Linked DNA regions of Danio rerio. The protein of the gene in region 1 purifies or fractionates together with the protein of each later gene. This does not show direct contact. Links are inferred from orthologs where the notes say so. Each region holds a gene or a part of one and is shown in the gene's direction. Other genes may lie near its edges. The genes, in order: napab, use1, stx8, stx16, stx6, vamp3 and bet1.

The links.
Region 2: the proteins of napab (region 1) and use1 purify together in Homo sapiens (affinity purification with mass spectrometry; 3 studies listed by BioGRID and IntAct, counting the BioPlex papers as one, with this or other methods). This does not show direct contact. The link is inferred for Danio rerio from reciprocal best matches to the Homo sapiens genes NAPA and USE1.
Region 3: the proteins of napab (region 1) and stx8 purify together in Homo sapiens (affinity purification with mass spectrometry; 4 studies listed by BioGRID and IntAct, with this or other methods). This does not show direct contact. The link is inferred for Danio rerio from reciprocal best matches to the Homo sapiens genes NAPA and STX8.
Region 4: the proteins of napab (region 1) and stx16 purify together in Homo sapiens (affinity purification with mass spectrometry; 4 studies listed by BioGRID and IntAct, with this or other methods). This does not show direct contact. The link is inferred for Danio rerio from reciprocal best matches to the Homo sapiens genes NAPA and STX16.
Region 5: the proteins of napab (region 1) and stx6 purify together in Homo sapiens (affinity purification with mass spectrometry; 3 studies listed by BioGRID and IntAct, counting the BioPlex papers as one, with this or other methods). This does not show direct contact. The link is inferred for Danio rerio from reciprocal best matches to the Homo sapiens genes NAPA and STX6.
Region 6: the proteins of napab (region 1) and vamp3 purify together in Homo sapiens (affinity purification with mass spectrometry; 3 studies listed by BioGRID and IntAct, with this or other methods). This does not show direct contact. The link is inferred for Danio rerio from reciprocal best matches to the Homo sapiens genes NAPA and VAMP3.
Region 7: the proteins of napab (region 1) and bet1 purify together in Homo sapiens (affinity purification with mass spectrometry; 5 studies listed by BioGRID and IntAct, with this or other methods). This does not show direct contact. The link is inferred for Danio rerio from reciprocal best matches to the Homo sapiens genes NAPA and BET1.

What each region holds. Positions count from the first base shown.
Region 1 is NC_133193.1:47,631,645-47,635,576, forward strand, and holds the start of napab (N-ethylmaleimide-sensitive factor attachment protein, alpha b), read left to right. Parts: upstream 1-1,132; 5' UTR 1,133-1,197; coding exon 1,198-1,295; intron 1,296-3,932. UniProt on the Homo sapiens protein: Required for vesicular transport between the endoplasmic reticulum and the Golgi apparatus. Together with GNA12 promotes CDH5 localization to plasma membrane.
Region 2 is NC_133197.1:10,727,768-10,731,735, reverse strand, and holds the start of use1 (vesicle transport protein USE1), read left to right. Parts: upstream 1-1,168; 5' UTR 1,169-1,236; coding exon 1,237-1,338; intron 1,339-3,758; coding exon 3,759-3,808; intron 3,809-3,968.
Region 3 is NC_133181.1:25,761,364-25,765,545, forward strand, and holds the start of stx8 (syntaxin-8), read left to right. Parts: upstream 1-1,382; 5' UTR 1,383-1,434; coding exon 1,435-1,451; intron 1,452-1,836; coding exon 1,837-1,936; intron 1,937-2,909; coding exon 2,910-3,004; intron 3,005-4,182. UniProt on the Homo sapiens protein: Vesicle trafficking protein that functions in the early secretory pathway, possibly by mediating retrograde transport from cis-Golgi membranes to the ER.
Region 4 is NC_133181.1:52,356,396-52,360,455, forward strand, and holds the start of stx16 (syntaxin-16), read left to right. Parts: upstream 1-1,260; 5' UTR 1,261-1,592; coding exon 1,593-1,724; intron 1,725-1,835; exon of another isoform or gene 1,836-2,002; intron 2,003-4,060. UniProt on the Homo sapiens protein: SNARE involved in vesicular transport from the late endosomes to the trans-Golgi network.
Region 5 is NC_133197.1:16,196,146-16,200,176, reverse strand, and holds the start of stx6 (syntaxin-6), read left to right. Parts: upstream 1-1,231; 5' UTR 1,232-1,378; coding exon 1,379-1,413; intron 1,414-3,882; coding exon 3,883-4,031. UniProt on the Homo sapiens protein: SNARE promoting movement of transport vesicles to target membranes. Targets endosomes to the trans-Golgi network, and may therefore function in retrograde trafficking.
Region 6 is NC_133186.1:42,677,926-42,682,040, forward strand, and holds the start of vamp3 (vesicle-associated membrane protein 3), read left to right. Parts: upstream 1-1,315; 5' UTR 1,316-1,439; coding exon 1,440-1,441; intron 1,442-4,115. UniProt on the Homo sapiens protein: SNARE involved in vesicular transport from the late endosomes to the trans-Golgi network.
Region 7 is NC_133194.1:43,532,860-43,537,083, reverse strand, and holds the start of bet1 (BET1 homolog), read left to right. Parts: upstream 1-1,424; 5' UTR 1,425-1,550; coding exon 1,551-1,569; intron 1,570-4,216; coding exon 4,217-4,224. UniProt on the Homo sapiens protein: Required for vesicular transport from the ER to the Golgi complex. Functions as a SNARE involved in the docking process of ER-derived vesicles with the cis-Golgi membrane.

The sequences.
Region 1 (3,932 bases):
TTTATGATATATATCCTAATTTCACAATAATAAAACTAATGTAAAATTTTCAAACTAATCATGCATTTGCCATTGCCATTTATAACCTTTTTCTGACATTATATTATTTTTTGGCAACTAAGTAGAGTTAAGAAATTAATATTTTCAATACTATAATCATGGAATAATACTAAATTATCTCTCACAGTCCAAAGACATGTGCTATAGGTGAATCGAATTAGCTAAACTGGCCGTATGTGTGTGCATGAGTGTGTATTGATGTTTCTCATTGGTGGGTTGCAGCTGAAAGAGTATCAGCTGTGTAAAACATATGTTTGATAAGTTGGCGGTTCATTCCATGGGTAGCACAATCGCCTCAGAGCAAGAAGGTCGCTGGTTTGAGCCCCGGCTGGGTCAGTTGGCATTTCTGTGTGGAGTTTGCATGTTCTCCCCCTGTTTGCGTGAGTATCCTCCGGGTGCTCAGTTTCCCCCACAGTCCAAAGACATGCGCTATAGGTGAATTGGTAGGCTAAATTTAAATTGTCCATAATGTATGTGTGTGAATGAGTGTGTGTGTGGACGTTTCCAGTGGTGGGTTGCAGCTGGAAGGGCATCCGCTGCGTAAAATATATGCTGGATAAGTTGGTGGTTCATTCCACTGTGGCAGATTAATGAAGGGACTAAGCAGAAAAGAAAATGAATGAATGATAATAATAATAATAATAATAATAATAATAATAATAATAATAATAATAATAATAATAATAATGTGATGTAAACATTATTAATTATGGAGTACTGATGCCATTGTAATTTATAACTTTTTCAGACATTATATCACTTTTTAGACAACTCAGTAGCAATGATTTAACCTAAAAAGAGTTAAAAAAATCTATATTTTCAATATTGTAATCATGGAGTAATCCTAAATCAGATCAAATGAAATTATTCTGGCCAATTGTCTGGCCAATTTTTAAAAGTAAATTATAAAATTTACGATAATATTTTAAAGAATTGTTTAAAAAAATTTATTATAATAAATATTAACAATGAACTCGATCGAACACCAAATAAATAATTGCTTTTGAATGAATAATGAAATTGAGCTTTTATTTTGAATTTAAGCGGCAGGCGGACATGTTGGAGGTTTCCGCAGAGATGTGTTGATGTGGCTGGATTCCAGAGTTTGCTGCTAAAGTTGAACTGTAAACAATATTCATGGATAACACCGGTAAGGAGAAAGAAGCCACGGCTCTCATGGCAGAAGCCGAGAAAAAAGTCAAATCCTCGCAGTCGTTCTTTGGCTCCCTGTTTGGGTAGGTTTTTATCACTTTTATAACTGAGTTCTGACAGGCCAGCCGGGGGTAAACAGACAGCTAGCATGCTAGTGAGTTAGCTGTCAAAAACGAACTTAATAAAAGTTATTTTCAGAGTGGAAAAACTCCAAAGAACGTTTTGTTTCGCCATTTAAGATTATTAGTTAGTGAATTGTGAACCCATACAGTATGTTAAAGCTGTAAAGCTACTTTAATCTCTTTTTCCCCGCTGAGAAGTCGTAATATAACATAACGTTAAATGGCGCAAAGTTTGACTGTTAGAAACGTAATATATTGTCAGCATTATCTTGTATATATCTAAATCTGAATCTACAAATACATATAGAGCGAATTGTCATTTCTTGTCTTGTGACCTGACATAATGTTTCCATAAAACTGATTATGAAATAGGCGGCGAGACTGAAATGTGACTGAATGCTTTGCTAGTTGTCAGCTGACTTTCACTTCAACAAGTTACAACATCACTGGACTTATTTAAACAGCACATTAACCTGAGAAAACACAAACTAATAACAGCAGGGAACATATAATTAGCAATACATTAATGCAAAAAAAAAACACACTAAATTATTACTTATCATACATGATATATATGGATATGAGCAATTACGTGCAAATGTCAACCTTGCCATGAGAAAAATTAGGTTTTTACCAAAATACGAGAACCGTTTCTGGGTTTTTGTGTAAGTAAGTATTTTACAGTATTTTAGAAATACAGAAAAATGCATCTGTTGATGTTTTCAAACTATTCTATTTACCAAAGTCACACAAGTGGCAATTTCACATCTGTCACATTCATAACGGAGAGATGTCACATTCATAACGACACTTTTTTCTCATAAATGTAAAAATATTAAATTAAATAAAACCAATCATTTTTGTTTTATAGAGAGCCAACTTATAGCAGTTTGATTAGCATTGCTTCTTTTGGGTTGTGCAGTTTAATTCTCAAAAGTTCTACAAAGTATGTTGTGTACTGTACATTTACATTTACATTTAGTCATTTAGCAGACGCTTTTATCCAAAGCGACTTACAAATGAGAACAAGGAAGCAATTTACACAACTAAGAGCAACAATGAATAAGTGCTATAGGCAAGTTTCAGGTCTGTAAAGTCTAAGAAGGAAAGTATTAGTAGTATTAGTATTTGTTTTTTTTGGGTACAGTTAGTGTGATATTCAGAGAGGCTATTGCAGATTAGGAAGTGTAAACCCGCAGACTTTTTTTTTTGTCACATCCACAACGCATGTTTATTCTCATTTAAAGTACAAAACATGTTTACAGAGCGATATTTTTCTGATCCCTTAACTCTGTGGTCTGTTGTTCTGGAAAATATAAACGAAAGTTTCAATATAATGTTAACGTATACTTTCTCTTCGATTTTATTACGTGAAATAGATAACAGTTTCTGTAGGTTTAAGACCTTTTTAAATACACATAAGGAATCTTGAATAGAACGTAATACTCCAATATGCTCTCTAAATGTAAATATGATGCATTACTGATGCTTTAAAGTTTTAGTTTAATATTCAGATCTCTAAACTACCCCTATAGTAGAAAACTGCCCTGATTAAATGGCACCTTAGATGGATGTAAGATAAGACTGTGGTGTCTCCAAAATGTGTCTGTAAAATTTCAGTTCGAATACCCATCAGATTATTTATTATATAATGTAGAACAGGGGTGGGCAGTCTTGGTCCTGGAGGGCTGGTGTCCTGTATAGTTGAGCTCCAACACTAGTCAAACATCTATAAGCAGAAAAAAATCTATAAGCAGGTGTGTTTGATTAGAGTTGGATCTTAACTGTGCAGGACCCTGGCCTTCCAGGACCAAATTTGCCAACCCCCGATGTAGAATCTATCCATTTTAGTGTCTGAGGATTATGTACAGTTGCTATCAGAATTAATTAATCCCCTTTGAATCTTTTTTCTTTTTTAAATATTTGCCAAATGATGTTTAACAGAGCAAGGAAATTTTCACAGCATTTCTTATAATATTTTTTCTTCTGGAGAAAGTCTTATTTGTTTTATTTTGGCTAAAATAAAAGCAGTTTTTAATTTTTAAAAACCATTTGAAGGTCAAAATTATTAGCCCCTTTAACCTATATTTTTTCGATCGTCTACAGAACAAACCATCATTATACAATAACTTGCCTAATTACCCTAACCTGCCTAGTTATCCTAATTAACCTAGTTAAACCTTTAAATGTCACTTTAAGCTGTATAGAAATGTCTTGAAAAATATCTAGTCAAATATTATTTACTGTCATCATGACAAAGAGAAAATAAATCAGTTTTTAGAAATGAGTTATTAAAACTATTATGTTTAGAAATGTGTTGAAAAAATCTGCTCTCCGTTAAACAGACAAGATGTATCAGAAAAAAATAAACAGTGGGGCTAAAAATTCTGGGGGTTTAATAATTCTGATTGCAATTGTAGCTTCCTTAAGTGCAAATGTACTGCTTCTCCCCGCCCACCACTCTGACATTGCGTATCAGCTTCTCCTGCGTCAGATAAATACGTCAGATAAACAGCAGTCAGTGATAGAGAGAGACAGGGATAAGGCTGAAATAAGGTCACGAGTGAAAAATACCAAGTAAGTTTATTTGATGTATTT
Region 2 (3,968 bases), on another chromosome or scaffold:
GTCTGCATTTTGGAAGTAATTTATTCTTAGATTTAAACATAAATTGTGCTTTTTAAATTTAACCAAATCATTGAACAAGTATCTTCAATTTACAAAAAAAAAAAGAATTTGTATGCTCCAAATACCCCACATTTTCTTTCAGTCTAATTACTTGTTTCGGCATTTTACATACAGATCGTAAATTAGATTGGTATGTATTCCCTTAAATTTCAATACAATAACTCATATATGGCAACATAAGTGTGTTATATAATATATATACATTGATTTACTGTCCAGGATAAATCTTGCTTTAAACACTATTGCTTTTACTCATTTTGATCTCACATTATTTATTTGTGTAAATTTCCTGTTAAAGATGGTTAAAAAAAATCTTCCAGTCACACTTGCTTTCTATGCATAACAGTTCCAAACAAAGAGATATATGAGAAACAAATACAAATTTGATTTTTATGTAAAATATAAATCTAGGGGGGAAAAAATTTACAAAGATCATATGATATTAGATCTAAACAAATCTATTTTAATAGAATTTAAATAGTAAATTACTACTGTAAAAAAGTAATGAGTTGAGTTTACTTAGAAAACCTGTGGGAACTGCTTACCGCAGAATTTTCAAGTAAATCAATACATAATTTCTGATTTGAACAAGCTACTATAACTTAGTTCAGGTAACTTTTTTATTTGTAAAGACTACCTAAAACTTGAGTACAGTCAACTCAGTATAACAAGTTCAGCTGACTTACAGGTCTAAGTTAGGCTTAATACGGATAACTCAAATAAAACAGTTCAGTTTTTTGCTAGTTCATGTTACTAGAAGAATGTGTGGAAACTGATTACCTTAAATTTCTCAAGTAACTTGTACTCACAACTCTAAGTTAATCATACACAGCCAGTGAATATGAATTATATATTTAGAATTATATAATTGTGAATTTATGCCTTTATGTTTACAAATATTGTGATAATTATACTGTATAAGAGTCATTATTTCAGTATATTAAGGCTAACACATAATTCAGGTTATTTGAAGCAAACACAACGGTATAGAAAGCTAGTTTGAACTTTTAATGTAGCCAAAATTGATAAAACATGGTCATAAAATCGTCAAACCGCCCCATTCACATGCTTAATGATTTTTAAAATGCCTCAAGGCACGGAGAAGGACTCTTCATTTGCCTGTTTGTTCCACCTTGTAATGTAAAAGTCGCGCTACTTCCGCTTTGAATGTCAAATATGGCCACGTCCAGACTGGAGATTAATTTCGTCAGATTATTGTCGCGCTGTGAATCGCTGGCTTCAGAGAAAAGAGCCGAGACAGAATGGAGACTAGAAAAGGTAATAATATATGTTTTAAAAAGCTTTATATTCCGACTGTAAAATATTCTGCATGAAAACAACACAGCAATAATACCAACGCCATGTCTAATGTGGATTACGTGTCAAAACAAGGCACGTATTATTGCATTCAAATCAATTATCTCTTTTTAAATTAATCATTTTTACTCCGCTTTTTGTTTCTTCACTTAGGACGGTATTTAAAAATGTCTATAGAAGGCAAGACACTGCAGGTGGATAGGGGTAAAACATTATTAATAATAAGTATCACCATACTTCAACAGCTGATTGATTAACTTACATCAACAAATTTATACATTTTTACAGACATTTTCAATAATGTTATGTTTGAATTCGCTCTAATCTGCATATATATGTAGAACAAAAATCTGCACCTTACTTGGATGAATATTTGGGTTTCACTACACTGTAAAAACTGATTAAAAGCAAGTAAACCAATGGCCTTAAAAGAAATAAGTTGACCTTACACTTTACTTAAAAATAAAGTAGCTAAACCCGTTGTAAATGTTAAGTTGACTTAACCTAATTTTTCATAATTATGCAGATTTTACTCACTTTTTAAAATGAAGTCAGCTAATCACTTTTACAGTGTACTTGATCACTCCATATTTTAGAAAACACTGCAAACAGACAGAAAATAAAATTCCTTTTTACAATTTTACAGATTTTTAAATAATGTTGTTTAAACTGCACTAATTTGCATATTTATCTAGCCAAAAATCTTACTTTGGATAAATTTGGGGTTTTAAAAAAGTGATTAGTTACTTAAAACGAGTAAACCAATGGCCTTAAACAAAACAAGTTGAAAATACTGCAAACAGACGGAAAATTAAATACTTTTTATATTTTTAAAATAATTTTCTGTTTAAATCTGCATTAATTTGCATACTTATATAGCCAAAAATCTTACATGGGATAAGTCTTGGGTTTCTCTACAGTTTAAAAAGTATTTAGTTTACTTTAGGCAAGTAAACCAACTGCCTTAAACAAAACAAGTTCACTTTACTTAAAAATAAAATGACTAAACCTGTCGTAACTTGTAAATTTTAAATTGACTTAACTTAATTTTTTAGAATTATGCAAATTTTACTCCCTGTTTTAAAATGAAGTCAGCTAATCACTTTTACAGTGTATTTGATCACCATATATTTTTAAAAAAGTTCTGCAGACAGACTGAAAATTAAAAACTTTTTTACATTTTTAATAATGTGTTTAAATTTGCACTAATTTTCATATTTATCTAGCCAAAAATCTTACTTTGGATGAATTTTGGGTTTCTCTACAGTTTAAAAAGTGATTAGTTACTTAAAGCGAGTAAACAAACTGCCTTAATAGATGCAAGTTGAGTTTACTTAAAAATAAAATAACTAAATCTGTCGTAACTTTTAAATGTTAAGTTGACTTAACCATTTTTTTTAGAATTATGCAGATTTTACTAAATTTTTTAACATAGTCAACTAATGACTTTTACAGTGTACTTTATCACTCCATAGTTTAGAAAATACTGCAAACAGATCAAAAATGTTACACTTTTAAAAAATTTTAAACCAATTTTTATCAAAGTTCTGTTTAAATCTGCATTAATTTGCATATTTATCTAGCCAAAAATCTTACTTTGGATAAATCTTGGGTTTCTCTACAGTTTAAAAGTGTTTAGTTACTTAATGCGAGTAAACCAATGGTCTTAAAAGAAACAAATTGACTTAAAAATAAAGTAACTAAACTCGTTGTAAATGTTAGGTTGACTTACTTTTTCATAATTATGCAGATTTTAGTCACTTTTTTTAAAATGAAGTAAAAAAAATCACTTTTTATAGTGTACTTGATCACTCCATAGTTCAGAAAAAAATGCAAACAGAAAATTAAATACTTTTTTACATTTTTGTAAATATTTGAAGTGTGTTGTAGGTTAGTGCTGCAGAAGTGGAGATTTATTTTGAGAAATAAGCTTTATTGAGGTAAAGTTGGTTTTATTTTTGCACATTCTGACATTCACTATGTTAATATAATTTAAAATTCTAAATAGTAAAATCACATTACCAGCCGATAACGATCAAAAATCATCGACATTGTTCACAATTAATTAAATAGTGCTAATGTTGTTTTGAAGTCAATTTCAGACTGAATATTCAAATTATCATGTCACAAATTGTCACCTTTAAAAAATGAATGAATGTGCGAATATACAACCAACTTTACCCCAATATAAACCTTTACAAAATATCTGTTGTAATTGAAATCTAAAGACACAAATTGATAAAGTGAAGAAAAAGAAACACTTAAATGTGTTTTTCGGATGTTTTCTTTACATATGATTGAAAAAAAAAACCCACAGAAATCTCAATTGACTTTGATTTGAAAAAAAACTGTATGTTTTGTTTTGTTTTTGTCTTTTCAAGTATGTCGGTGCTCTCGAGGAGATGTTTGTCGCCCTCAAAAAAAGTCCCAGGTAATTTTGAGCCATAATGTATTACAAAAAATACATATATTGGGTGAAAACGCCTCAATGTATCAATATTAGCTTGAAAGCTAAAAACAGCTAGCTTAGCAATGTTTCTACAGCAGTTATGAAATGTCTCGTTTGATATGAACTACCACAGACATTGACT
Region 3 (4,182 bases), on another chromosome or scaffold:
ACAGAGAGAAAAAAAAATACACAGCCTCAATCATTAAGAAAAAAAATTGTCATAAGCTTTAAGAAACTTCTTATTATTATAATTAATAAGCTTAAGAGATTCAATATTGTACGAAATTTCAACAAGGAAAGTATTAAAATAGGTATTGTTTTTAGAAACTTGTTTTTGTGTATAAAAAATTTACAGAGTAACACAAAAAACAAAATTACAATAAGATCGAGAGCATGATCATCATCCAAGAAATACAGAAATATATCTTTTATAGACAAATTTAAATCATGTTTAAAAATGGATGATAAATAAAAAATAATGTAATTCCAAAGATGTTTAATGTGAATGCAACTATAGAATAAGTGAAATAAAGTCTCTTCATGTATATTGCAGAAAGTACACAAATTAGATATATCAAAATAATTAGCAATTTGGGAATTTGTAGGATAAACATTATGCAAGATCTTAAAATGTATCTCTCCTATTTTGTTGGATATGCTGAATTTGTCAGGTAATAACCATAAAATTTACATCTTGGGGTGGTATATACAGAGGAATGTAACAATCGTCTGACATGTCTGTTGTCACATTTTTTATCAAAAAAAGACACTCCATCCAAAAAAAGTTCAGGCATAATTGTTTCCCTCTCATTAAAGTAAACAAAAGTCTTAAATAAATGCACATAACTTTGTGACAAACTCTTTAGAACACAGTTGAAGGATTAAGCTGGCAAAGAGAAGTTATACAATGTCATAAATTATTCATATTCCAAAATATTGCCATCATTTTAAAATAAGTCCAAAACAAAAACAATTCCTCTTTCAAACCACTTATCAATAAAAAGAGATTTCCCACGAGTTAAGACATTAGAGTTATTCCAAAGAATTTCTTTGTGTGGGGAAAAATTGTGCACGTAACACAATTTCCAAGCAAGTAAAGCTTGTTTGTGAAAATTACAGAGGGAAATTGGCAATTTAGAAGGGATTAAATTACATTTTAAAAGAAAGTCTAAGCCACCTAATTTATCAAATATAACATTGGGGATATGGTAGCAAATTGAATTATTACTACGGAGACATCTTTGTAGCCAATTAATTCTAAATGAGCTATGCCTAATTAAATCTTTGAAATTTAAAACCTCTAATCCACCCTCTGAGCGCCTATTAGATGAGACTGATTTTCTAATTTTATGGGTTTTATTCTTCCATATGAAGTTCAATAACACTTTATTTACATAATCAGCAATTTTGTCATTGATAAAAAGAGACATCGCAGGACAAACACAACGAGACATCGGTTACCGTATGAAGTGTGTCTATGAAAGGCCACCGTATGACGTCGTTCCTTAACAGGAAGTGGCACTGCGCAGTTTATGTTGATGTGATTTTGCTGTGAGTTTCTGCTAAAACGCTTTTTGCAAACTCGAAACAAAAGTACCGCAACATGTCAAAAGACCTTTGGTGAGTGCCTATACTATTATTATTTACTGTCATGTTAGATCTGCATGTCAGGACAGTACGTTAGACTTCAGACTTCAACACTATTAATTTAGTGCATCTGTAACTGACAGTCAGATCAGTTTAACTTTAACGCTAGACTAATTTATCTATTTTTTTTTCTACTCCCCAGGGCTCATTTTACCCTATACTTTAATTGATCAATTATGTTTTCGTTCACATATTGCTGTTTTTACGCGTCTTGTAAAGGTTGCCAAGCCGGTTAGCTGACATTTGATTGTCACATGATTGTGTTGATGACAACCTTGTGATTTAAATAACTGGAAACCCTTATCTCATGATCCCCATTGGAAGATTTTGATAAGTGTAATCTGTGTTTTGTTTACAGGTTAGAAAATTATGATGCAGCTTGTAGGCTGGCTCAAGAAATTGCAGAAAACATCCATGAAAGAAACAGACAGCAGAGGACTGGAGGAAACCCAGCCAAGGCAAGGCAGGATTTGATTGTTTACATCAGGGGTCTCAAACTCAATGGCGGGGGGCCATATTAGTGACTGACGATTCATATGAAGCACAAGAAAAAAGTGGAAATCTGATGTAATACATTCTTACACTCATACATTCTTCCCCAGTTTATCAAAACTCCTTTTAGTTTCTCGTTGTATATGTTGAAGGGGTTGTTTAAATTGTTATGAAAATACCACATTATATAAGCATAATAATCATAATTATGTCCCAATCAATTGTTGCTTTACCAGATGTTTAACCGATAGCGTAAAACATCAGAAAAGAGTTTGAATAACTTTGTTGATTGTACTGGCAATTGTTCTTCTCAATGTCCTTCTTTTTTTTTTAAACTACAAGAGAGGAAACGTTTTTATGTATGTATTCACGTTTACTTTAACATGTGCAATTTAGCCAGCAGTAAAATTTTACTAATGCACATTTTTTATACAATTCTTAATATGCATATTAGAAAAATATATTAAGGATACATTTTTGAATTGAATATTAGCAAAATAATCATATTTACACTACTAACATAACGTGTAAGCCTTGAAGAGGTGTTTGTAAAAATAGAGCACGTACAGACATATGTTTCAACTTTTACATTAGCCCCAGAAATAATCTGCATGTGCATTACTCTCAACTGCACACTGAGAGAAACAGAAAGTAACCTGCATATATTGTACAGTACTTTAAATGTCCTGTAGGTGGGGGTCAAAAACATAAGAGGCTATATGCAACTGCACAAAGATAGTGACTCTAAAAAAATATATTTTTTTGTTGGGCCGAATCTCATTATATTTTTCATGTCAATTTCGGGCTGAAAGAAAAAGGAGGAGGGTGGCCACAAATGGCCCACAGCCAGGCAGTTTGAGACCCCTGGTTTACATGAGATAGTTAACCAATCTTTTACACAATATAATAATCTCTCTTGTTGCTTTTCCATCCATGTAGATCAACATGACCCTGAGAGCATCATTACAGAAGCTAAAACAGAATATAGCACAACTCAGAGAGACTCTGAATCGAGCAGCTGTTCAACGCCATATGTATCCTTTCATTTACTTGACTGCACTTTCATTTCACAGAGGCCAAAGCGCCTTACAATTGAGGAATCATTCAGCGATTGAAGAAGCAATACAGTCAAGGAGTGCCAGTAATACAAAGGGACTGTTTGTGGCCAGAGAATTAAGTGCCAGCATTAGGAGGAGGGAGTTTATTTTTCTTTTTTTGAGAGAGAGTGAAAGGTGTTTTTACAGGTACTACATGTATAGTGTTTTTTGGAGTGATTATAAGAACCTGCTTTGTGCAAATGTGCAAAAACTGATGCAAGTGTTGTTTAAAGTGTCAGAGAGATGAAAGAGCATGTTTTCTACATGTGGTTTGTTAAGCCCACTCACCTGTGTGAGGCAAACTTCATGAATGCATAGTTTTTTTTTAAAGATATGAAGTGATTGTAAAAATGTGCCTTGAGCAAATGTGTAAACTGATGCAAGTGTTGTTTAAAGTGTCAGAGAGATGAAGGAGTGTGTTTTCTACTGGTGGTTTGTCAAGCCCACTCACCTGTGTGAGGCACACTTCATGAATGTATAGTGTTTTTTTTTAAGATATGGAGTGATTGAAAGAATGTGCCAGGTGCAAATGTGCAAACTGATGCAAGTGTTGTTTAAAGTGTCAGAGAGATGAAAGAGTGTGTTTTCTACATGTGGTTTGTTAGGCCCACTTACCTATGTGAGGCAAACTTTATGAATGCATAGTTTTTTTTAAAGATATGAAGTAATAGTAAGAATGTGCCTGGTGCAAATGTGCAAACTGATGCATGTGGTGTTTAAAGTGTCAGAGAGATGAAAGAGCGTGTTTTCTACAGGTGGTTTGTTAAGCCCACTTACCTGTGTGAGGCACACTTCATGAATGCATAGTTTTTTTTAAAGATATGAAGTGATTGTAAGAACGTGCCTGGTGCAAATGTGCAAACTGATTGAAGTGTCGGTTAGGGTTAGGTGTCAGAGAGATGAAAGACTGTGTTTTCTACAGGTGGTTTGTCAAGCCCATTCACTTGTATGAATCACACTCAGAATTGACTATGTTTTGGGGTTGTCCTGTAGTTCTGTGTAGTTGCTTCACAAAACCAAGAAAGTTGAATCCAGCAATTAGGATTATAATGACTTCTTTATGATTGTTTGTTTTGCAGTATCATTGAGAACTAAGATTTTCTAAATTAGTTTGA
Region 4 (4,060 bases), on another chromosome or scaffold:
GTATCACAATGACATGATTTGGCAACAAATCACAGTACAAATCGCAATAAAATTAACTAAATTAGCCATATCAGAACATCCCTACAGAGTACAGTTATATTGACAACACGAGTAAGTCATTTGTCTTATCTGTACACAAGGACTTGTCATTCTGACGGCACTGACATATTGAGAGATGAACTAAAGATTTTAAGCAAGAGACTGGCTTTTGCGGGTAATCCATGCTGTTTTGCCATTTGTATGTGCTGTTTTGAGAAATGCACTTACTGTTTTGTAAATTTCAAAGTTCATGCAAAGACGAAAAGTCTGCGAAGACATAAATTTGTATTTTTATTTGCACATGTTCTTTTATAAAAAATAGTGTATACATAATTGGGTTTTACATTTTTTGGCTTAATAATTATTACTTTTTAGTCTACTCATTTTGATGTAACCATAATAGTACAAAAAAGAAGAGAGTCATGTATTTTAAAACAGATATTTATAAAAATCCAGTGGAATGGAACATCACAACCATGGTTTCTGCAGGTGTCAGTCACTATGTCAAATGTATGACTTTTTAAGTCTTTTTTTTAAAAAACACTTGTGAATTAAATTTTTACTACATGCTAAGGATGTTTTAATTGGTGTTACCAAACTTTTCAGCCCCCGAGCCCCAAAATAACAATGCCTGTGACTCGCGACCCCAATATTTCTCAGAGGTGGTTATAAATATACAAATGTTGCACACACAAAAACAGGCCTATAGTAACATGAGCATATTGCCAACATAAAAAGTGCAACAGTCTTAACAATCATAGGCTATAATTTAATAATCATTGATTCATTTGTTTAATTTAACATTAATCTCACCTCAATGAGCCTGGTTGACACCAGCACAAGTCTAATGGTTTAATGTTGAAGATCATCCTCAATGTTCAGTTGTGGCCTGTATTTATTTTTAATGTATTTGATTACCATAAAGGAGTCAGAAAGTTTAACCTGGTGCTATAAAATCAGTCTGTGTTGTTAATCTAACATACTATCTAATCTAATACATTATCCTATGACAAAATTAAAGGCTGATGGCTTTTTTTTTGCATGTTGTTGCTTTTTTAAATAATAAAATAAAATTCGAATGTAATTAATTCTTAAATATTACAAAACTGCTGTCGTCTAATAAAACTAAAAGGTTCATTAAGCTGCAAATATGAAAAGGTTAAGTATTTTAATACTGAATTCGATTTTTGCATATTCATTGTCCAAAGCGGAAGTTTCGGCGTGAGGTCACGTTACGTATTCCACGTCACGGAAGTCACAGACATGATCCATTTGCTCCCCAAACCGAGCGGAAAACTCGGGGTTTCGGCCTTGTAATGTTTTGGTACTTCACGGGATACAGACTCGGGACTGCGTTGGTCTAAAAAAGAGCCGAACTCTCTCGAGCTCGGAGGCGCTGGGTCAGTGGGCGAGCCTGCTGCTCGGTTTGCAGGCTAGCCCGCTAGTTCAGTAGCCGCAGCTGCCTTGGCGACGAGCTGAGTAACTAATCTAGAGACAGCCATCGAGGCAGCCCGCAGTTATTTCACTTTTCGCTCCCCTTTTATTGCATAGCCATGGCAACTCGGCGACTGACCGATGCCTTCTTATTAATGCGGAACAATGCAATCCAAAACCGGCAGATTTTGGCTGAGCAAGTGAGTACATACGACCCCCGTCGTACTCTGAATACACGTAGCAATGCTGCGGTGAGTCTAACGTTCATTGTCTGAATTGATTGTTTTGGCGTGTGTGGTTGTACGTGTGATTCAGAGAAAACAACTCTAGCTAGTTGTTCTTAGAAAACAACCCTAGCTAGTGATGTTTGTTGATGTCAACCGGCGCTGTCAGTTGTCCAACAAACCTCAACTTGTTTTGTTTGCTGTGAGAGGAGCTGGAAGGTGTGTGTGAACCTGCTAGCTGACCGTCAAACCAACGCATTTTGATTTACCTCAGCACACGAGAATGCCTTTGACTTGACTAAAAGGTGATGGTCGTGCTAGTTTAGATCATTGGTTCGTCTTTTAAAATATGACGCCCACTCCTTAAGTATACAGCTTATATGTTCGTGTATGAAGGCGCATGTATGTTTGTCTGGAGCTAAATAAGAATGTGGAGACGCTCTTTAACTGATTTATCTAGTACATATTATTGTATGATGATGTATGTTTACTTTTTAAAATTGAATTAAAATATTAATCATTAATGACCATTGTTAGAAAATACAGAACTGAATGGTGTACTCAAATTCAGTTTAAGCTACTGTTTAATGTTGATAGCATTTTGAAAAATTGATTTATTCCATGGTTAGAATTGCTTTAGTTTAATCCATCCTTGCTCAACGCAAGAATAAATACATTTTCATAAGTTCCTTAACTTTTCAACAGCAGTGAGTCATCGTGAGTTAAAATAGTTTTTCTTTGTGATCTAAAGCATACACATGAACTTTTCACATGCTTTCAATCACAGTAGCACGATATTGGGAAAATCTAACATTGCGATATTTTGTATTTTGTTACGTGAATACAGTTTTATTTGGAAAGAATTCCTCATTTTAGTTTAATTGGGGTGATTGGATCTCGAATAATGTGTAACAAATAACTTACAAGCTTAGGTAATCAAAATACAGCAAATATATAAGTGAATTCTAGTTTTCTGGAGAGTCTTAACAGTATTCAGGTACAGATAATTGAACAGTCAACATTGCATAGTCTTTATTCTATATAATGTAATCGTTAATAAATTTACAAACACTAACTTTTCTTGTGGCTGGATGTTTTAAACTCTGAAATGTTAAAAAGTTTACACAGTCAGAGGCTTTAAAGGCATAGTTCACCCAAAAATGAAAAAGTACTCATTACTTACCCTTTACTTGTTTCAAACGTGTAAGAGTTATTTATTGAGTTGCACGGTTTACTATGGTATTATCGCTATACTATGTCTCCAAAATACTGTCTGTGCCACTGTAGTTTGTAAACGGTAGTATCGTCATTTATGGTTTATCTACAATAGACAACGTTGCATGTGAAAAAGTCAATAAAACGCTTGCACGTTTGTGCAACAATAAACCATTTATTTTAATAGTCTGTAGAGCCCTTTAAGATTGCCAAACTGTGTCGAAAATGTGCCTTTTATGGTAGCCTGTTGCACGTTTCCTAACGCTTCAGTTTGAATAAACATTTAAATCGGTTCATTTCTGTTCCTATTAATATGATTAGCTACCACGACAATCTCTTTAAAAGAACGACTCACAAAATGAAATTTTGAAATACTTTGAGTTGTTTCCTGAGAGGACTAAAAACAAAGATGAAAAACCCAAAATAGCAACAGGAAACATTGAAACTATTTTTGACCACGTCATATAGCCTAATTTTGTTGGAAAAATGCTCTTTTGTAACAGATTTAATTTGGTATAATTTGTATCTTTATTTTAATGTGTTTTTGTTGGCCAGTTATCTACAAAATACACAAAAAGAATGAACAAACTTGAGGTGCAAATAATACTTTTTGGCCTTAAGGGAATTATGAATTACATTCAAGTAGGCCTATTATAACATAATATATAGTATTTCTGACAATTTCTATTTATTTTGAGTTATTAATTACAGTATCGCAATGCTACTTGGTATCGTGACACTTCAGCTGGTATAGTATCGTAAGATTAATTAATAATATCACCTAATAATAACCCTAGTTATTAAAATATTTTCTTTTCGTGTTCAACATAAAAAAGAAACACATAAACTTTTGAAAATAGTGATTAAAGGTACATTTTTGGGTGAACTATCTCTTTAAAGAGTCCATTATAATTCAACACTGCATTAATTATAATCAACTATTATTTCAACTCAACATTGAAGATCCTGAGATGTGACTATTGCGGATGCACACATTGCCACATCGATGCTGAAACGATATATTGTGCAGCCCTACTTTCATCGAATATACAGTCACTGTAAAATTTAGATTTGTTTACGTTTGTTATAACAAATGTTGCCGAATGTCATAGAAAGTAAAATGTATTAATTTTATTCCTACATTTTTA
Region 5 (4,031 bases), on another chromosome or scaffold:
ATACATTTTCATTCATTTTTCTTCAGCTTAGTCACTTTATTAATCAGTGGTCACCACAGAGGAATGAACCACCAACTTATCCAGCATATGTTTTGGAACAGCTGTTGGCATTAGAGCTGCAACCCAGTACTGGGAACCCTCCATACACACTCATTCACACACATTCATTCATTTTCTTTTTGGCTTAGTCCCTTTATTAATCTGTGGTCGCCACAGCGACTGAATCACCAACTTTTCCAGCATATGTTTTACACAGCGGATGCATTTCCAGCTGCAACCCAGTACTGGGAAACATCCATACAATCTTACATTCACACACATACACTACAAACAATTTAGTTTATGAAATTCACCTAGCGCATGCCTTTGGACTTGTGGGGGAAACCGGAGTACCCGGAGGAAACCCACACGGCATGGAGAACATGTAAACTGCACACAGAAATGTCAACTGGCCCAGCAGGGACTCGAACCAGTGACCTTCTTGCTGTGAGGCAACAGAGCTAACCACTGAGCCACCATGTCGCCTGTTACATTTTTATGTTACTATACAATTATTGTACACATACGTAAAAGGCTACACACACATATATAAATGTTAGGAGGACTATATGTATGTGTGCTTTTACAATAGTTCAAAATATCTAAGATCTGAAAACATGGATTTTATTTTTTATTTACTGTGAATTTTCTGTGAATAATAATATTCTTATTTTATGTTAATTTTGGTGGCAAATCAAAAGGTAATCATTTTGAAGTCGGTGTATAATGATTCAGTTAAATTTAATTTTGAGGACGTAGGTTCAATATTTTAGTATGTTATAAATTCCTTTATTCATTTTCCTTCGACTTAGTCCCCTTATTTATTAGAGGTCACCACAGTGGAATGAACCACCAACTATACCAGCATATGTTTAACGCATAAACTATAAATTAGCTTTCAATTACGTAAACATTTACATATAGTAGATTTATTATAATAATAATGGTAAGCTACTTTACATAATATTGCCTGGATGATGAATAGACAGAATGCTGACTACCAACATATATTTAAAGCATTATCTAAATTAAACTAATATCTCGTAAGTATATTTTATATTTAGGCATTTTGCATATTAGTGGCAACGCTTTGTTCTTTTACTTCAACAAACCAAAACAACCCGTGCTGCTGTTTATCTGCCCAGGCGCGTGCGTGTGTCTAGACGCTCGAGGACCCGGATGTGATTCCGCCGGGCAATGGCGGCTGAGCGGATCCGGGCTCTGTCCCGCATGTAAACAACACGTAAAGCGCTCTCCTTTGTCCAAGTAAAGCTAAACCAGCCGCGGTCAGGAGCATGAGATTATCGCACCCCACTCATCGACTCATCTGAGCAGCAAAATGTCGATGGAAGATCCGTTTTTCGTGGTGAAAGGGTGAGTTTCAGGGCTTAGATCGGAGACTAGGGGCGAATATAAGATGTCGAATTAGACACTTTCAGGAATCAGATTGGAGTAACGTTAATTATTTTAAACTTTACGTACATTAGCTATTTGACTTGTCCTACGTTGATACTCGGCACCATTTAAAGCAGCTGTTTCGGTAAGATCGTTATCGTGTTGTCATGGCAACCATAATTATCGATTTTTTTCTCAAACGCTTCATAGCGTTAATCGATATTTGTGTCGTCTTCCCTTTAAAGTGGTATTGTTTTGGGTTGCCAGACATCTGCGTTTTGCTATAAGTTAGGATTTACAAATATGTAACGTTACCATGTTTGTCACTTTTTGGGGATACATATTATGGTATGCTTTTGGATAGTAACGTAATAGCATAGTTTTTTCCATGTCAGACATCCAAAAGCATTGCATTATCATAGTAAAACCTTTCAATTCAGTTCATCTTTTATTTCTATAGCGCTTTTACAATCTAGATTGTGTCAAAGCAGCTTCACATAGAAGATTATAGTAAATTGAAACAGTGTCAGCTTATTTTTGTGTTGAAGTTCAGTTTAGTTCAGTCCATTCAGTTCAGTGTGGTTTAATTTTTACTGCTGAGAGTTTAAACACTGAAAAGCAAATCCATCGATGCGCAGCTCCACTGCTCCCAAACCATGCAAGCCAGTGGCAAGGGAAAAAAACTTCACCAATTGGCGAAAGTGAAGAATTAAAAAAACTTGAGCGAAACCAGGCTCAGTTGAGCACGACCGTTTCTCCTGTGGCCAAACGTCTTGTGCAGAACTGCAGTCTAGGCGCTGTAATAAAGTGCGTGCATAATTATTGTTTAATTGTACCGATTTCACACTTCTTAAGTGTTGATTGTATGATATTGGAAAAATCTAACATTGCGATATTTAGTTATTCTGCGATATAATTATCTGATTCAGATGATTCTGCAGAAAAGTGCATCTGCAATAATTATAATAAACTATCCACAAGCATAGATCAAACAATAAAAAAAGATAAATAAACAGTGTTTTATCATTTTTACGTCTAACGTTAACTTACAAATGGTAAAATTTTTTATGCCTCTGGTTTTAAAATCCTACTGTCCAAAAAAACATGAAAATGATAGATTATACTACAGACTCAACATTGCACAACCTGCGATGTGACTATTGCGAATGACTACATTGCGATATTGATGCTGAAACGATATATTGTGCAGCCCTAGTATTGATATTGTGTATAATCATTAATAAGTTACGTGTAATTTTTTAACAAGCACTGGGGGTGTAAGATAATTATATTTAGATGTGCATATTTATGAAGCAGGTTTATTTTGACATGTCAAAACGAAGGGACCAAAAGGAGGTGTAACATTGGGGAGGAAAAAAAAAAAAAAAAATATATATATATATATATATATATATATATATATATATATATATATATATATATATATATATATATATATGTATGTATGTATGTATGTATGTATATATATATATATATATATATATATATATATATATATATATATATATATATATATATATATATATATATATATATTTTCCCAATGTTACACCTCCTTTTTGGGCCCTTCGTTTTGTATATATATTAAACGACCAAAAGAAGATCACAGCATTAATAAACCTGTAAAATTAAGGTATTACTATTGAACGACAAATACTAACTAGGGCAGGAGGAAGACAGATACATAAGCTGTCCTTAAAAGAAATCAGTATTGTATAACACTTCAGCTATTGGTTTTTATAAAGTGGGGATTTATATTATTGGGGGTTATCTATTGTAGTTTCTCATCAAATATTCTGACCAATCAAATACTCTCTAGTGTCTGACATACCCACCCCCCTCAAGATGCTTTTCATTTGCTTTATCCATTGATGCATCTTTTTTGAGATCAACCACTCTCACTGGCAGAGCTGTGATTAAAAACGAAACACTCTTGGATGTTTTTTATAAAGGAGAGGGGCTACTCTATGTCCCACCCTGTCTTCATGAATTTTATTTCAGATTACAACGAAGAAATCAAATTCAAAATGCTAATTTTAAAGCACTTCACAGCACCTTTAATTTATCACATTTTTTATAGGATCGCATCCATTATTTTTGACTTTTTAGTGAGAGTTGCATCTTTTTTATGGGCTATTTTCCTGCTTAATGATTATACACATCAGACAGTCTATTAATTTTCAATTTAATAATAATTATTCTAAATAATAATACTAATAACACTTATTAATAATAAATTACAAGTAAAATATTTTAGTATTTGGCTAAGAACGATGTATTTGAGAACTGGTCAAATTCTCTTTGGAAAAAAACAATTATGATCATATGTTTATAATTTTCATAATTATCTGCACACTCTGTAGTATTCTTGTCTACATTGTAGTAGGTCAATTAACCTTGAGGCTTAATTGAATGTATTTGTCTTAGAGAGGTGCAGAAGGCTGTAAACACAGCTCAAGGTCTTCATCAGAGATGGATAGAGCTGCTACAGGACGCGGGTGGAGCCAGCAAGGAGGAAGTGGACTGGACCACCAACGAATTACGAAACAGTTTGAGGTCCATTGAATGGGACTTGG
Region 6 (4,115 bases), on another chromosome or scaffold:
GAAAAATAAACGGGGTCTAATAATTCAGAGGGGCTAATAATTCTGACTTACATATATAATGAATTCTGATATATATATATATATATATATATATATATATATATATATATATATATATATATATGTACATATATATATTCACATATATATATATATGTGTGTGTGTGTGTGTGTGTGTGCGTGCGTGCGTGCGTGCGTGCGTGCGTGCGTGCGTGCGTGCGTGGTGCGTGCGTGCGTGTGTGTGTGTACATACTTTATATAGGCTAATTTCTTATAATTAAAAATATATATATTTATACCAAATAGTGTAGATGACACTACACCTTACTTATCAGCAAAACAATAATTTAATTTATATTTGTATAAAATGATTAGGTATATATAAATATTCGATGGTATGTGTTTGATTAAAGGTTTAATATTTGGTTTATTCTACAAAAGGTTTGTGATTAGCATGTTTAAATTTTCAAATAAAAATATTAAAATTTAGACCAATGGTGTCTTAATTTTTTCCATAGCTGTTAAATGTAGTTTAATTATCTGTGTTTGTGTGTGCGTGTGTGTTTGTTTGAGAGAGAAAATTTTGAAATTGAATACACCTTCATTTAATAAAAAATTAAACTACAACATGTTTCATTGATTTAAACAAATTTCTAAATCACACAATATTTTCATCAAAAACCATACATTATTTTCAGCCCAACACAACATTTTTTACACTCCACATGTCTTCAAACTTGTTCAACTCTTTCATTGACAAATAAAAATTAAAATCATGTCTAATTCTTGCTCTAATAAGCCTTTTAAAAATAAGTTCAACTTTATAAATGGTCTCACACAAAATCTTGTTCCTCCTATACTAATGTATATTGCCATTTTTGCTAGTCTTAATATAAGAATAGAGAGAAAAAGAGAGAGAAATAGAGATCTTATTATCATCATTAGATTATTAGATCATTATTTTTTATTATCATCTTTATTATTATTATTATTATTATTATTATTATTATTATTATTATTATTTTACTACTACTACTACTGTTTACTGTGTTTAGTGTGTTTTTAAACTATTTATTATGTATGTTCTTTTAATGTAAACTTTAGTGCTTTGACAATACATTTGTAGGCGGTTCATTCCACTGTGGCGACCCCTGATTAATGAAGTACAAAGCCGAAAAGAAAATGAATGAATATATTTGTAACATGTCATGCCAATAAAGCAGTTTTTGAATTGAACTGAATTGAGAGAGTTTTACAATGACTGTATATTTTTATTATAACCTATGAAATTACTTATATGATGGGGAAAACTTTCACTGTGTGTGTGCGTGAGCTATATTCTACGTGCACGCGCGCGCTGACGCTCACTCGCTTACACAGTAATAACAGTTGTATCATCATCAGCGGGCCTTCACAAATCACACATCAACTCAACAACCATGTAAGTAAAATTAAAATTGCACTAGCTCAGCGATGTGATATGAACATGTGATGATATATGTTTTGCTTTTGTTTTTTTTTTAATACCTAAATATTGATGTGCTGGGAAAGTTTGTGTTGTGTTCTAATGGGTGTGAATACGGCCAAAGCAACAGGTTAGCTTTTAGCTTAGCTTTAGCTTCAGTTTGTTGACAATTTGTTTACTTTAATTTACTTTCGGTCTTGTTTTCGGTTGCTTTTATTTGGGATAGTTGATTATGACACCGTAAGTGAAGTTTAATGTCCGTTTGAGTGTTTAAAAGAGATTTGTGTTTATGTTCGCATTAGCGCTAACTTACATGCTAACTGCTTACAGTTTGTTTTGACTGATAAAAGTTTGTGGAAACTTTAGACATTAAGCATACACAAACCACAGACATATCACCATTATAATAACATATTTGTTTTGTTTTAAGTGTACAATTATTTTAATTTTGAGTGAGTTAAAAGGATGTAGTTTGTATTTGGCAAAGCTGCGGCAAATTAATCAACAAACAAGTTATAACTTACAAGCTTCACAAATGATTGTTCTTCAATCAGTTTTGTTAATCCAGTGGTGGGCAAACTTTTTAGACCAGAGGGCCACTTCACGTTTTGCAAACCAAGTAAAGGGCCACATGCCAAATCCTTCAAAACATATCTTTTATTTATAGTGGCAGTATGCTTAGAACATGTAATATCGGACAGAAACATGTCAGATTAACACAAAACAGATTTTTAAAATAATTATTATCGAGTCAAATTGACAAGTAAAATGAATTTGCTCTGCTATTTATATTTATCAATTATCATAAAACAATAAAATAATCTCTAATAGAATGTAATACTGATAATGATGTAATAATTTTGCAGCGAAGAATAGAAAAGATATTGTCTGATAGACAAAATCCCATATTAACACATTAAAAATAATTCTTAAAGTTTGCTATTTAGTCAAATTTACAATAATCTAATTTGCACTTCTTTTAGAAAATACAGATCAATCATCTTAAAACTTGATAAAACCACAAATCTTTGACAAAAGAACTTTTTAAAGTGGATGTATGGATGGAAAATATACTCTGTGTAAAAAAATTAACACATTTAACCAGCAACCATTATATATTTTGAGTCAAATTCACAACAATCTCATTTGAGCTTGTATTAATATGCTCATATCAATCATTATAAAACTATGAGATAAAACGGAAGAAGAATCTTAGGCCCCGTTTACACTAGTGCGTTTTAGTTTGAAAACGCATAAGTTTTGCTACGGTTACGCCATCCGTCCACACTACGCCGGAGTTCTCGAGCGCCGAAAACAGAGCTTTTTGAAAATGCTGGAGAGGCCGTTTTCATTCTAAAATGCTGCTGCTCCGTCTCAGTGTGGATGGGGAAAGACGGAGACATCTGAAAACGGAGGCGGGGCTGGAAACGTTTGCCTATCTGATTGGGGCTTTTCCTCAATATTAAGTAGCCCACACACAGTTCAGTCTCGCATCCTCTTCTTGTAAGTTCAGACTTCGCAAGTTTGATCAAGGCTGCAGTCTCCCCTTTCTCAGTTTGATATGGAAAACATACCGAGGACACGCGTAAATCTTCAAAGGGAACAGTGTACTTTATAACTTCATTCACATCACCTTGGCTACGTTGTTTCACTTTCTCAACAATAAAATATAAACATGATTTAAGGAACTGCCTATTTTCTTTTTAATATTAGCAACTTAACAGACAGCAGAAATGTTGAGGCGTTGTGTTGCATATATGAGCGTCATCTTCACTGTGTGGATATTTATAACAAAACGGAGCCTTATAACAACTGCCTCCTTTCAATTTCAGTGAAAATACGAAACGCACCCTCTCTTTTGCTGAATATCAGTTTTAATAATCGATAATTATAAAAGTATAACATACAATAAGTTTATACATTGTAGGAAATAAAGGCAAGCGATCAGTCAATGTACCTGGATTAATCATTAACTTATCTTTGCGCTTAACCAAAACATGTTACCCGTGAACAAGTAAGTTAATAGATTCCAATGACCAAAGTCAGGGAATTGGCCTATGTCGTTAGATAAAGACAACAACATGAATGAAATATCACGTTTAGCAAATATAGTGAGATTAGATCCAGCGGGAGATGCTTGATGAGCAGTCCGACAAGCAGAGCTCTCATCTGGGTAGAAATGCTGGAGCGCTTGCCCAAGTGTGTCTGTGTGGTCACGTGATGTGCGTTTTCAGCGTTTTGGTGTGGACGGAGAGCAGTTCAGAAACGCTGGGTAAAACGCTAGTGTGGATGCGGATCGTTTTCATTCTACAACGCCGTTTTAAAACTAAAACGCACTAGTGTAAACGGGGCCTTAGTCTTTGTTATTCCAAGTCATGTCATTATGAGTGTTAACGTGAACAATGAGCCTGAAAATAACGTTACATTAATATTAACTGCAACACTCTCGCAAAATACCCAGCTGATCCAGTCTTTGACTAGCAACATAAAAAAAGCGCAGTGTGCTCCTTTTTTCTTGTCAACAAAAAGGCAGTGCAGAGCATCCTTGTGTTTTTGGAATGTAAATGCGCGTTCAGTGTGATCGGCCTCTTAGGTTGTAGCCCTTAAAAACAGCAATATTTTTTTTGGCATATTAGACCTACAGCTTTCT
Region 7 (4,224 bases), on another chromosome or scaffold:
ACTAAATAATGCCACACCACACAAAATTGAAATGTGTGTAAATGTAATGATTTAGAAGCATTTCTTGACACTGAGATTCATTCATTAATTTTCTTTTTGACTTAGTGCCTTTATTAATCTTGGGTTGCCACAGCGGAGTGAACTGCCAACTTATCCAGTATATGTTTTACACAGCGAATGCCCTTCCAGCTGCAACCCAACACTGGGAAACACCTATACACACTCAATCACACACATACACTATGGCCAATTTAAGCTTATCCAATTCACCTGTACCGCATGTCTTTGGACTTGTGGGGGAAATCAGAGCACCCAGAGGAAACCCACACAAACACGGGGAGAACATGCAAACTCCACACAAAAATGCCAACAGACCCAGCCAAGACTCGAACCAGCGACCTTCTTGATGTGAGGCAATCGTGCTACCCACTGTGCCAACGCGTCGCAAACATTGAGATGAAATGCTCAATTTTATATTGTTGAAAAAGAAATGAATATTCAAAAATTTGCATATTAAATGTAAAAAAATATTTGTGTATATATAGTCAGTGAAACACTTTTCAGTGTTTATTAAACTCATTTGCTCATAGTCTGTTTCTTTTAAAGTCTGGGTAAGTTTTTTTAAACTGTGAGGAAACCCACACTAACAATGGGGGAACATGCAAACTCATTCATTCCATTCATTTTCTTGTCGGCTTAGTCCCTTTAATAATCCGGAGTCGCCACAGCGGAATGAACCGCCAACTTATCCAGCAAGTTTTTACACAGCGGATGCCCTTCCAGCCGCAACCCATCTCTGGGAAACACCCAAACACACATTCACAAACACTCTCATACACTACGGACAATTTAGCCTACCCAATTCACCTGTACCGCATGTCTTTGGACTGTGGGGGAAACTGGAGCACCCGGAGGAAACCCACACCAACGCAGGGAGAACATGCAAACTCCACACAGAAACGCTAACTGACTCAGCCGGGACTCAAACCAGCGTCCTTCTTGCTGTGAGGCACTGAGCCACCATGTCGCTCCCATATAAGGCTTTGTACTATCAGTTATAAAAAGTAAAACAGTTCTTTGAAAGAACCTCAGAATGAAGATAAATTCAGAATTGAGAGAAAGTCTATACATTTTCTATAAAATAAATAATAGTGTCACAGATTTTTGAAAATCTGACTTGTCTTAGAGTCTGAACTGTGAGAAAGTCTACAGCTGTTTGCAATTTTTCAATTAAATTAACCCTGCAAGTCGTGTCAACTTACTTTTGAGAAATGAAGTCACAGTTTGCTGAAGAAAATGTTAGAATTATGACAAATAAAGACAAGAATTAACCGCAATACTCGCAGTAAAAACTTCAGTACCCAGAAGCCCATGTAACTTAAACGCGTATCGTTTAATCCTCTGCGGCTTCCGTAAGAGGTGTCGTGGCGCTTGTGAAGTTGGAGGGGGAAAGTACAGATTCTCTAAATATCAACATTAGCGAATATTTGTCACATTATTTTACAGACTGCAGTGATCGTATCCACGTCATATAGATTACTGGGTTGACAATGAGGCGCGCTGGTTTGGGTAAGTTTGCGTTTTTATGTGTCGTATTGCTTGAAGCTTATGCTAAGCTAAAATCTCAACTCAATTAGAAAACTTAACGTTATTGGTCACAGTTTATGACAGTAAGCAATCTCTGAATGACCAAATCATCACCCACACATTAACGTTAAATCCAGGTGTGGAGAATTAACGTTAACGTTAAATGGATAAATAACGTTTATTAACGTTCTTGCAGTAACTAGCAACTCCTATTTCTCTATTTCACCATCGTTGTTATTGAGGTGAAGTTGTTTTTATATTCGAACATTTGTTCTGTGACAGCTCCCTGTATTGTTTACCTTTATGCTAGTTTGAATATTCGGACTGAAATCACGTGTAAGTATGACTACAAAACAACACTATATAATTTACTGTGAACAATGTTTTTAATAGTCTGCTAATATAATTTCCCTATTTAGAACTTCCAAATAATACTTTTCTGAAATCATATTATTAAGGAGAAAGTTCGAATGTGTGAATTTAAAACCAGCTTTACGTCAGTGGCGTTATTTATTAATCATGTTTACATATATATTTATATCATACAGAAAAGCAACTTCTGTGTATGAACAACACGAGATACTGTAACAGCATAAATATGACACATCTAAGCTGAAATTAAAAAACCTTCTATTCGAAGTAGGGCTGGGCGATATTAAAAAAGAATTCAAACTCGTTAATTATTTTCCATATGAAGCATAACATCATATATTTCAATACAAGTTGGCAATGCTTCCAGATTTAAAATAGTACTTTAACATTGACTGAAGCCACAAAAATAAGAGTCCATTAGATCAGTAGTTCTCAAATTAGGGGTCGGGACCCCTTGAGGGGTCGCAGGACAATGAAAGGAAGGGTCGCCTGGGGATTTCCAAACATCTATTTATTTTTATTAAACCGGAATTACCATATTGTAACCTACTGAAGAGAAAAAAAGTCATTTAGAGTTACTATAAACTATATAATAACTTATAGTTACTAGTTCTATTGGATTGTGACCCCTGTAGTAATTACATAATATTAAAGACACAGCAATAGCATCGGATGCAGCAGATTGATTTTATACCTGCTTAAACTTTCTGGCCCATTTACAGCACTGAGATACATTTTAAAAAATTACACAAAGAATAAACCTGGGTGTATTGGCGTGTGTGCACCATTGCATGCAAGGTTTCTGTATTTATAACAACCTCAGATGATATTGGGGGTCGCGAGTCACTGGCATTGTCATTTTGGGGGTCGCGGGCTGAAAAGTTTGGGAACCCCTGCAATAGATGGCAGAACATTTTTTTCCAATAAATTTCCGTGGCTGAAAATTCGGTGCATCTCTAATATCAACACCCTTTTGGATTCCCATTGTTGCACATTTCTGCTGTGTGATTTGCTCTTAGATCAATATAGAGTAGAAAAGTCAAGAGATTGTCATTGTTATTGACAAAAATTTTATTGTGATTCGATATAATATTGTTTATCGGCCCAGCACTAATTTGAACAGTAAAGTATGATTGATAAAGCAAATAAAACCCATTTTAAACTTGATAAAATGAGGCACCAAGCAAATAATCTACCTTTTAATTTAAAAAAACATTCATTATTTTGCAAATTTCAACATTTTGTCTCATGTAGACAATCAAGATTTTATCCAGAGTTTTTACTTTTCGATTTTAAATAGTTTCTGATGAACATTTCAATCTTATTTGTTTAGGTTTTTCAAATTCACTTCCAACTTTAGAGAATATTTGATCAATCAAATCAGTGCATACTTGTCAATTACTCTTAAAGGGATAGTCACCCCAAACAATTTTTATATTTCACAAAAGAAGAAATTTTAAACAGAGCTAAAAACCTGTAACCATTGACTTCCATAGTATTTGTTTTTGCTACTATGGAGGTGAATGGTTACAGGTAGCATTGGCACAATACTGGAATTCGATACCAATCGGTACTGAAATTTTACAAACGTCCATTTCCTGCTTACATTTGAGCGCTGTTGAGCCCATTCTTAAACACTGTTGATTTGCTGTTGTGTTCACATGCTCAACAGAAATGACTGTGATTGGCCGTGAAGGTCATTAGTTCACCAAACTCAACACTGTTTACTGAGTGTAAACACAGATACAGGGACACAAGCATTTTAAAGTCACGTCAATCAGCTGGTTTGTCTATAACTTCACATACAAGCGATCTGCTGATGAATTGCGGCTTTTAAATGCTCCAGTGTCTGTATCTGTGTTTACACTCAGTGAACAGCAGTGAGATTGGTGAACTAATGACCTTCACTGCCAATCACAGTCATTTTTGTTGAGCATGTGAACACAATGGCAAATCAGCTGTGTTTAAGAACGTAATCAACAGTGTTTAAATCTTAGCAAGAGATGGATGCTTTTTTAAGCTTCAGTATCGATTGGTATTGAATTCCAGTATCGTGACAACACTAGCTACTAGTTTGAAACATTTAAAGGGCGAGTAAACATTGACAGATTTCATTTTGTCGTGAACCAGTTCTTTAAGGCAACATTTCAGTTTACTGTAATAAGATTTATTATTTTTAGTACTAAATACTTGATTTTAAATGTTTTTTTTTTTAAATTCCGTTGGATTTGACCTGACCTGAATGTTTCTTGTACAGGAGAAGGT